Linked DNA regions of Arabidopsis thaliana. The protein of the gene in region 1 interacts with the protein of each later gene in a pairwise test. Each region holds a gene or a part of one and is shown on either strand. Other genes may lie near its edges.

Region 1 (5,055 bases):
GAAGCACATGCGTAAAATCTTTACTTGTCTTGTCTATGACAAATATGGCTAATCATTCTTCCTGAAACTCAGAACATTTGAATTATTTCTCATTCATGTTGACTAAAGAATATTTTTTTCTCTGCTGTGAATTCGTCTCATTTGCAGGTGATGGAGTTCCACGAAACACCGTAACTTGTTGCCATTGATCCTGTCTTGTACTGCCTAGACCGGACCTGGGGAGATTGACAAGGCAGCAGAGAGATGTGAATATATTTTTTAACAATATATGATATTGTATATGATGGGGAAATGAGGAAACGTCTCTCTGCACGTTTGGCTTATGGAGTTCTGAGGAAACCCTCTTGAGAGAAAACAACAGCAGCAGCAGAACAGATGCACACAGGAATCTGACATGTTTCTTAGGATTTGCCTTTGGCGCAGTGTTTTGTTCAAGGCATGAAACTTTTTACATCATTTTGTATGATTACTTTTAACCTTTTATGAATTTATGAATATATATGTGATGCTTGTATTTTGGCATATAGTTTACATTGGGTATTTGGGTCAAGGAGAGATCACATTGTAACCCAAATGTTTCTCATTACATGATAATAAACCAGTGTCATGGTTCAGTGTTAAAACAAGTTCCACACATTTGAATTCTTAATATAAGCAAGGATTCCCAAAAGATACAAATGTCTTGAAGATCCTCAGGACCATTATATATAGCCACTTATGTCTACAAATCCAAAGTCTTGTGTCTATACTTTTATATATATAAAAGATCTTTTGTTGGTGAGCTTTAACACAGCACATGACTCTCAGAGCATCCACCCCGGGATGTAACCGTTTCCCTGCTGCGCCTGAGCTTGGGTTGTCGCAGTTATTTGCTCTGAGCATACCGGATTATCATACCTGTCATCATCATCATCATCACCAAAACAGCAACTTAAAAGGTTCACACACATTGATGATCCTCTTTACACCAAGTAACTAAAGAACCTTATATAAGTACAATCTTAGTAGTGAAGTACACAAGCTGATTTGCAGATGATTGTTTAAGGCAAAGGATTTACCCCATTTGCAGAGTTGGATTGCATTCAAGAGGCTGGTATAGTCCCTGAGACTGAGCTTGATGATGCGCGTAGGTAACATTCTGTTCACCACCTTCCCATCCTCCTCCTCCTCCCATATGATGACTTCTCACACCAATCATATCATCCAGCTAAACATTTACATTTCACCAAAAGACTATAATCAGAAACAAGAAAACTAGAGATGTTTCCAAAAATGTTTAGAAACTTAAACTCTGTGAAAGAGATTGATCGCAAGGCACCAAATGCATTTATTCTGTAATTATACCTTCATTGCCAAAGCTCTATTGGTTTCAAGCAACATTTGCTCTTTATTTTGAAGATCCGAGAGCTGGTCAAGCATGTACTGTGTCTGCAAACAATCATCATACCACCATAGTAGTTATAATTAAACAACACAAATTAATCTCATTTGAATCATTGATTCCATGTATAAAGATACCTTGATGGACCGAACTTGCTTGAGAGAGCCGTCCAGTTGACGCTCAAGCTGCTCTAACTCCTTTGAATTCAAAGGTCCTAAATCCTCCCCAAGAAGATTTCTGCACCAACAAAAGCCACACACACCTACAAATATGAATCTACATGGATACAGAATTGAGTAAATATACGGAGGTAGACAGATATGTACCTCTGTTGACGTTGAAGGTTCTCATATCTACCCTTAAGCTTCAGATATTCTCTGTAGCTGTTCTGAAATATTTCACGAAAACAAACTTTTAAAAAAGATCTTTCTTGAAATGATATGATAGGAATCTAAAATAGTATTTGAATTAAGAACACCTCAAGTTCTTTGGCAGGTTTGTTGTTGACTTCAATGGATCCATAGCTGCATTTCTGGTACCGATCAAGTGTCTTGAGCATGCTGAAAATAACTCAAAAAGAGAGAATAAGAGTTTATTAAAAAGATCATACTTGACTTTGGAGATCTAAACCTATAAATCACCATAAAAAAAAAGCTCTTCAAGTTTTAAAGTATTCTTCCATCAAAATTGAAGATTGTTTCCATTATTTATCTGATTATATACGAGTTGATTTGGATTTGATTGTTTCAACTTTCAAACGTAAAGTTTCGTATTTATATTTACAAATATCAATAGTTCAATCCTATCATTTGCAAGCAATATCTTACGTTTTCGTTTGATTCACAAATTGTGATTTGAAAAAAGGAATTAATCGCTATATTTTCTTGAATGCATGTAAGCAAAACTATTTTAACATATAATTAAAAATCTATTAAACATTGTTTTTAAGAAAAAACAAACAATCAAAGCCTTCACAGATATACACGCGTTTGAAGTTTTAACCACCATAAAGTATGATGAACTAACAAATGGTTAATGCATGTAACCATATATTATCATTCTACGTTGGATACTTGTAATTTTCATAGAAATCTGTGAACAACTTTTAAGTTTCCAATCACACAGACATATATTAATTATATAAAACTTTTCAGATTGCATATCAGGATTTGGAATCTATTCGATTACAAAATTCACAGTTCTAAATCATTGACAACAAAAAAACCAGATCTTAAATTTCAAGAATTGGAAAAAAACCCTAGAAAATGAAATCAAGAAATCTAATTAACTCAACTTCGTAGAAATCAAGATCGTGTGATCTATATATAACAAGTCCTTGAGACAAAGATCTAAGCTCAGATCTAGCAAAAACTCAATCAAGAAACTGATAAAGAGTGAGAGAGTTGTTTACTTTGAGGAGCTGCAAAACTCATAGAGCTTTCCACGGTTGGAGAAGATGATGAGAGCAACTTCAGCATCACAGAGAACAGACAATTCATAAGCTTTCTTCAACAAACCGTTCCTACGCTTTGCAAACGTTACTTGTCTGTTGATTTTGTTCTCTATCCTCTTCAGCTCTACTCTTCCTCTTCCCATTTCTTTTTGTTACCTTAATTTCCACTTTTTATGTCTATACACAAATATGGGTATGTAATGTTTATCTATATACAGACACACAAAAACATAAGTTGGGTATCTCTTTTTCAGAGGAAAGATCTGATCTTTTTGAGTTTTTATGGTCTGGAGAATTGATGGTATTTGGAAAAAAGAAATTAACCCTAATTTCAAGAACAAAAGGTACTAGCTTAAGGAAGAAGAAGAGGAAACTTCTGTTTGTCTGATTTTTTATTTATAGGGTTATTGATTCTTTTTCCTCTCTTTAATTGTGTTTGGAAGTGTGTGGAGGTTGTGAAATCTTAATGAAAATTTTGTTTTGAATCAATGGAATCTATTGAGAGCAAAAGATAAGAAATGTGTGAGGGTGAGGTTAGGGTTTGGTGTGTTTTCTCATTTCTAGCCCATCTCTCTGCTTCTTTATTCTTCTTTACTTTCATTCCCACGCTCTCTTTAAGCACGTGTGATACAGTCACCAAATAATTGGCTCTTGTGATACAATTACCAATTAAACTTGTATATATATGTTTATATGTTATTTAAAGGATAAATTTTTATTTCGTATTACTTACTTTAGAGTTTTCATTATAGGGTTATTATTTAATTTGAACATCTATGTGTTTCTCCTCAGGTAGAATTCATGTTTGTGTATATATGGGTGTCTACTATTTATGGAATATTTATACAAAACATCTAAACATATCATTGCTTGAAAATTCTATGTTTATATCATAATAGCAAATTGTTTATGTTTAGTTATATATAACACAACAATAGTACTCTAAGAAAAACAGCATCATGCACGTTTGATGGTTGACTAGTAACTAGACACACGAGGCACAAAGGTTATCAGTTGATTAACATGTGTATGTATATACGGTCTTTCACTTATCACATTACAAACTTGAAAGTAAAATTTGTTTAGCGATATTAAGAAAGTTTATATATAGAGACCTCGTACTAGCTGGAAATGTATATCTAAAATGAAAGTACACTCCCTCTTACATACAGTTTAATATATTTTCAACATAAAACATATGTACATAGTACTAGCTTATTTTTTAACCAAAACTTTTGGGTTTGATAGTTTAACAACTCGGTCAAGAATCTCATATTTTCTTACTTCAAATAATTGCCAATATATTCTAGTTCTTTTTGTTTTTAAATTATACCTGGTAATTTTCTAACGAGAGTCTCATAATTGCAAGTTGTAGTAGTCTTGCAGCTGGATATGAAGCGCGTGAATTAAAACTAAATAATACTTACAATAAATGAAAGCAACGTATCATATCATTTTCTAGTTGTTTTCAGAAGCCGCAGAAAAGCATCTTCTACCTTAAAATGGGTTTCCATGTGTCGATGCCTTATTGGATCATACTTTCTTACTTTTTAATTCAGTTTAAAATAAATTGAAAAATGAGATAAACATTTAAGTGGTTCAATTATCATAAAAAACACTAAAACTGATAAAATAGCCACATAATATAGGTCATATCAAATAAATGAGAAATAATATTTGTATGCCTAAATCAAGTTATCCATGTTTGAAGGTGTTTGCAGTGAGGTATATATGTTTTTGTCTAATAAAGATTACAGTTATGATTATGTAACATAAATTAGATAATATTTACAGCTCGCGATACACTACAATTGAAACGTGGTTAATTAGTGAAACTGAAATTTGAAGAAGAGGATGAAATATGAATGATATTCGTTAAAATGATCTCTTAGATTGTATAGTCATTGTCCCCCATTGCCAAAAGATCAACCACTTACATAAAGTAAAACGCATCTTTAGTTAAAAGCTAACCAAAAGAGTGGAACATATTTATTTTTGGATTGCATTTGCGAATTTCATCAATATATGGTTTTGTTCAATTGGGAAATTTAAATAACTCCACTAAAATGTACAAAGTAATTTTTTTTCGACAAAGAATCTATGAAGCTAAAAAATCTACCCATAAGTCACTTTTAGCAGAAATACCACCATATAGACAAGGGATTATTGTTGATTTTGCCATTTTTTATAGAGATCTTTTGAAATTGCCATTTTTACTAAA
Region 2 (2,890 bases), on another chromosome or scaffold:
GTTAGTTATTATAGCAACTGATAAAAAAAATATAAATTAGATGCCGATTATGTATAATTCAGAAATGTCATCAGATTTGTTACAACATGCATATAACCTTTTTAAAAGCCAAAATATTTAGGCACATAGAAATTGTATTAGTTAGATTAACGCGTGTTAAAATAAATTAAATTTTAATACATATTAATTTTTGTTTTGCTGTCTTGATTTATTATTTATTGCAAATTATGAGAACTGTTACACAAATGATTCTACCACAAACAATTCCTTTTTATGATTTACTATCAAAATATTATATTAAATTTGAATGTATAGATAAAAAATTTGGAGAAATTGTTTCTCTCGACTCTTTTATTATTTACATATATTATCTTATAAATCCAAATATATATATTTATAAATATAAGAGAAAAACATGTTCTCTAGAAACAGGAATTAAACCAACATAATAAAACGACAACAAACTGGACTCGATCAGACAAACCCGGTATAGATGCATATCCGAGAAATGAAGTTGTGAAGATTCGCTCCATCAATTAAGCAACATGTTTGAAATTTAGTCTAGTATGACGAAGATCCCACCAAAATGCAATAGTATCGCCTGCTTTGTAATGTTTTCTTTTTAGAATATCATTCCATCCATGAAATTTAAAATTATTTCCATCTTGTCTTATGATTACATATGTTGTAATTTGAGTATCAATATCATACACTCCAATCATCTTTGGCTTGTCTTGAACTTGTAACAACTGGACGAGAGTACTTATCTCCATGAAAGGAAATAAATTGGTTTCTAGTAACGCTTTTGGCATCATTATCGTAGTACTCCTATCGACGTCAAATGGTGACAACGTTATCATGATGTTATATGGGTTGTTTGAGTCATACTGCTTATCTGGAAAATTCGCCATGAGTTAGAACAGAAAGATATATGAAAAATCGGGTTTCAATGTTCCTTACTCCGTAAAGGCTTATGCAAGGTTTGTATAAAAATATTTGTTTGTGTTAAGGGTATATATAGTGACAATAAGTTGTACTTATGTACGTGGTTAATTGTAATTAAGAGCTTATACCAATAGAGAGATACTATGTTTTCAAGTTAGATTAAAATTAATTAATTGAATATGTTTTGTCTTACCCAAATAACACTAATTTTGTTTGATATATAGTTTCATAATATTATGACATATATAGTTTTGTAGTTATTGAATTCTAACACGTGTTAAAGTGAAATAAATTTTGACAGGCTGACTTAACATCAAAAAGTTTTGAAGTAAATGTCATTTAAGTATTTGACATTTTTTTGGCTCATGTAGTTGTGAGCTTGCAAATTTAACTCTATAAGATTCTGTAAGATTTTTTTTTTACTTAAGACAATAAATAGTTTTTCTTTTTGACCAAACTATTGTGGCACATAAACTTTAATTACATTCATTAGAAATATGGGTAATATGTTAATCAGTGAATTATATGTTAGAATATATATACACAATATTTTCATGAGTATAATAGATTCATTATTAATTGAACATGTTTTCTCTTTCAACAAAAGTAATAGTTAAGTTTTAGGGGATATTATTGGTTTATGATTTCAAAGGAGTTTTATTGACTTAAAATGTCATGTAAAATATGTTGTTATTCAATCAAGATAATATAAAACTATGTTAATGTTTTGTGTTATTCATTTAAGATTTGTAAAAAGTAATCTAAAATCTTCATAAATTTGGGGTTATTGGATTCATATTCTTATAAAGTCAGTAAGAGTTTTGTGGTATTCAATTAAAACAAAAGAATCTCTTATTGTTAATGATTTAAATTATTATGTTATTGGTTCATGACTTTCTATATTTTTGTTTACAAAATAAAGTCATAAAAAGTAATGAAAAATATTATCAAAATAGAGAGATTGTTTAAGAAACTTTACAAGATTATTGTGAAGCCTAATCTATAATTTCCGATTAGAACTTGCGACTTAGTTTAGGGATTTGAAAGAAAATAGAAAAAACGCAAACAAAGAACACCGAGATTTTACGAGTTCAGGTTCCGGTGTGGAACCCTACGTCTCGCCGGAGATTGACTCCGGAATCCACTAGATCATAGCTCAAACTCGAGCTCATACAAGTGACCGTTACAATCGCTCACCGGATTACAGTCACTCTCAAGCTTTCTCTCACTCACCAACACAAAACCAGTTACTCTCTCTACCTCTAACTCTAAGCTCACGTCTCTCGTCGACTTGCGTAGTCTCGTTGTCACGCTTCTCTTATCTGTTTCATTCTGTTACATACTCAAAGAAGAGTAGAGAAGAAGAAGATACAGAGCCAATGATAAAAGACCCTTTTACCCTTCTAGTTGTGACTTATTACTAATCTCACGTGTGTGCTTCTCACGTGAGCCAATGAAGGAAGCTTGGGTCAAACCCTCTGATTGCTTCAGATACTTATCACACTTTAGCATATATCTTGAGATCGGATGACACTAAACCTTCAAATCTCCACCTTGTCATCGATCTTCTTCACGCTCCTTATCTAGCTTCTTGGATTCCATCTCCGGTACTTGAGCTTCACCGCTCATCTTGAACTTCACCGTTCAACTTCAATGCTTCCTTGAAAAATTGTTTCCTCAATGCATCTTAAAATCAACATGTCTTGATTCTACTTGAAGACTTCCTCGCAGCTGCTCCTTAGAACCCTTTAAACTTGCTCTAACCTTGACAACTCCAATCTTCACACTTCAACAACCATTAGTGAACATATCTTCGATGGAAAAAAAATAGCTGTGATGTGAATCACACCGACGTTCCCGAACCATCGACGTTCTAGTATCACTTCTTGAGTTGTGAACCAACTTTAACACAGACTTGTGTCAACAAAAAACTCATGTTTGCTTC

Evidence for each region. Proteins that work in one complex are often made in the same cells at the same time.
Region 2: the proteins of SEP1 (region 1) and AT4G05630 interact in binary tests that used the Arabidopsis thaliana proteins (3 or more experiments, as listed by UniProt).

The regions. Positions count from the first base shown.
Region 1 is NC_003076.8:5,150,791-5,155,845, forward strand, and holds SEP1 (K-box region and MADS-box transcription factor family protein), read right to left. Parts: upstream 3,464-5,055; 5' UTR 2,978-3,463; coding exon 2,793-2,977; intron 1,942-2,792; coding exon 1,860-1,941; intron 1,770-1,859; coding exon 1,708-1,769; intron 1,619-1,707; coding exon 1,519-1,618; intron 1,429-1,518; coding exon 1,345-1,428; intron 1,208-1,344; coding exon 1,059-1,207; intron 931-1,058; coding exon 804-930; 3' UTR 544-803; downstream 1-543. UniProt on the Arabidopsis thaliana protein: Probable transcription factor. Functions with SEPALLATA2/AGL4 and SEPALLATA3/AGL9 to ensure proper development of petals, stamens and carpels, and to prevent the indeterminate growth of the flower meristem.
Region 2 is NC_003075.7:2,987,912-2,990,801, forward strand, and holds AT4G05630 (B3 domain protein), read right to left. Parts: upstream 912-2,890; coding exon 537-911; downstream 1-536. Other genes in the region: AT4G05631 (uncharacterized protein), read right to left, coding at 2,095-2,277, 2,659-2,724.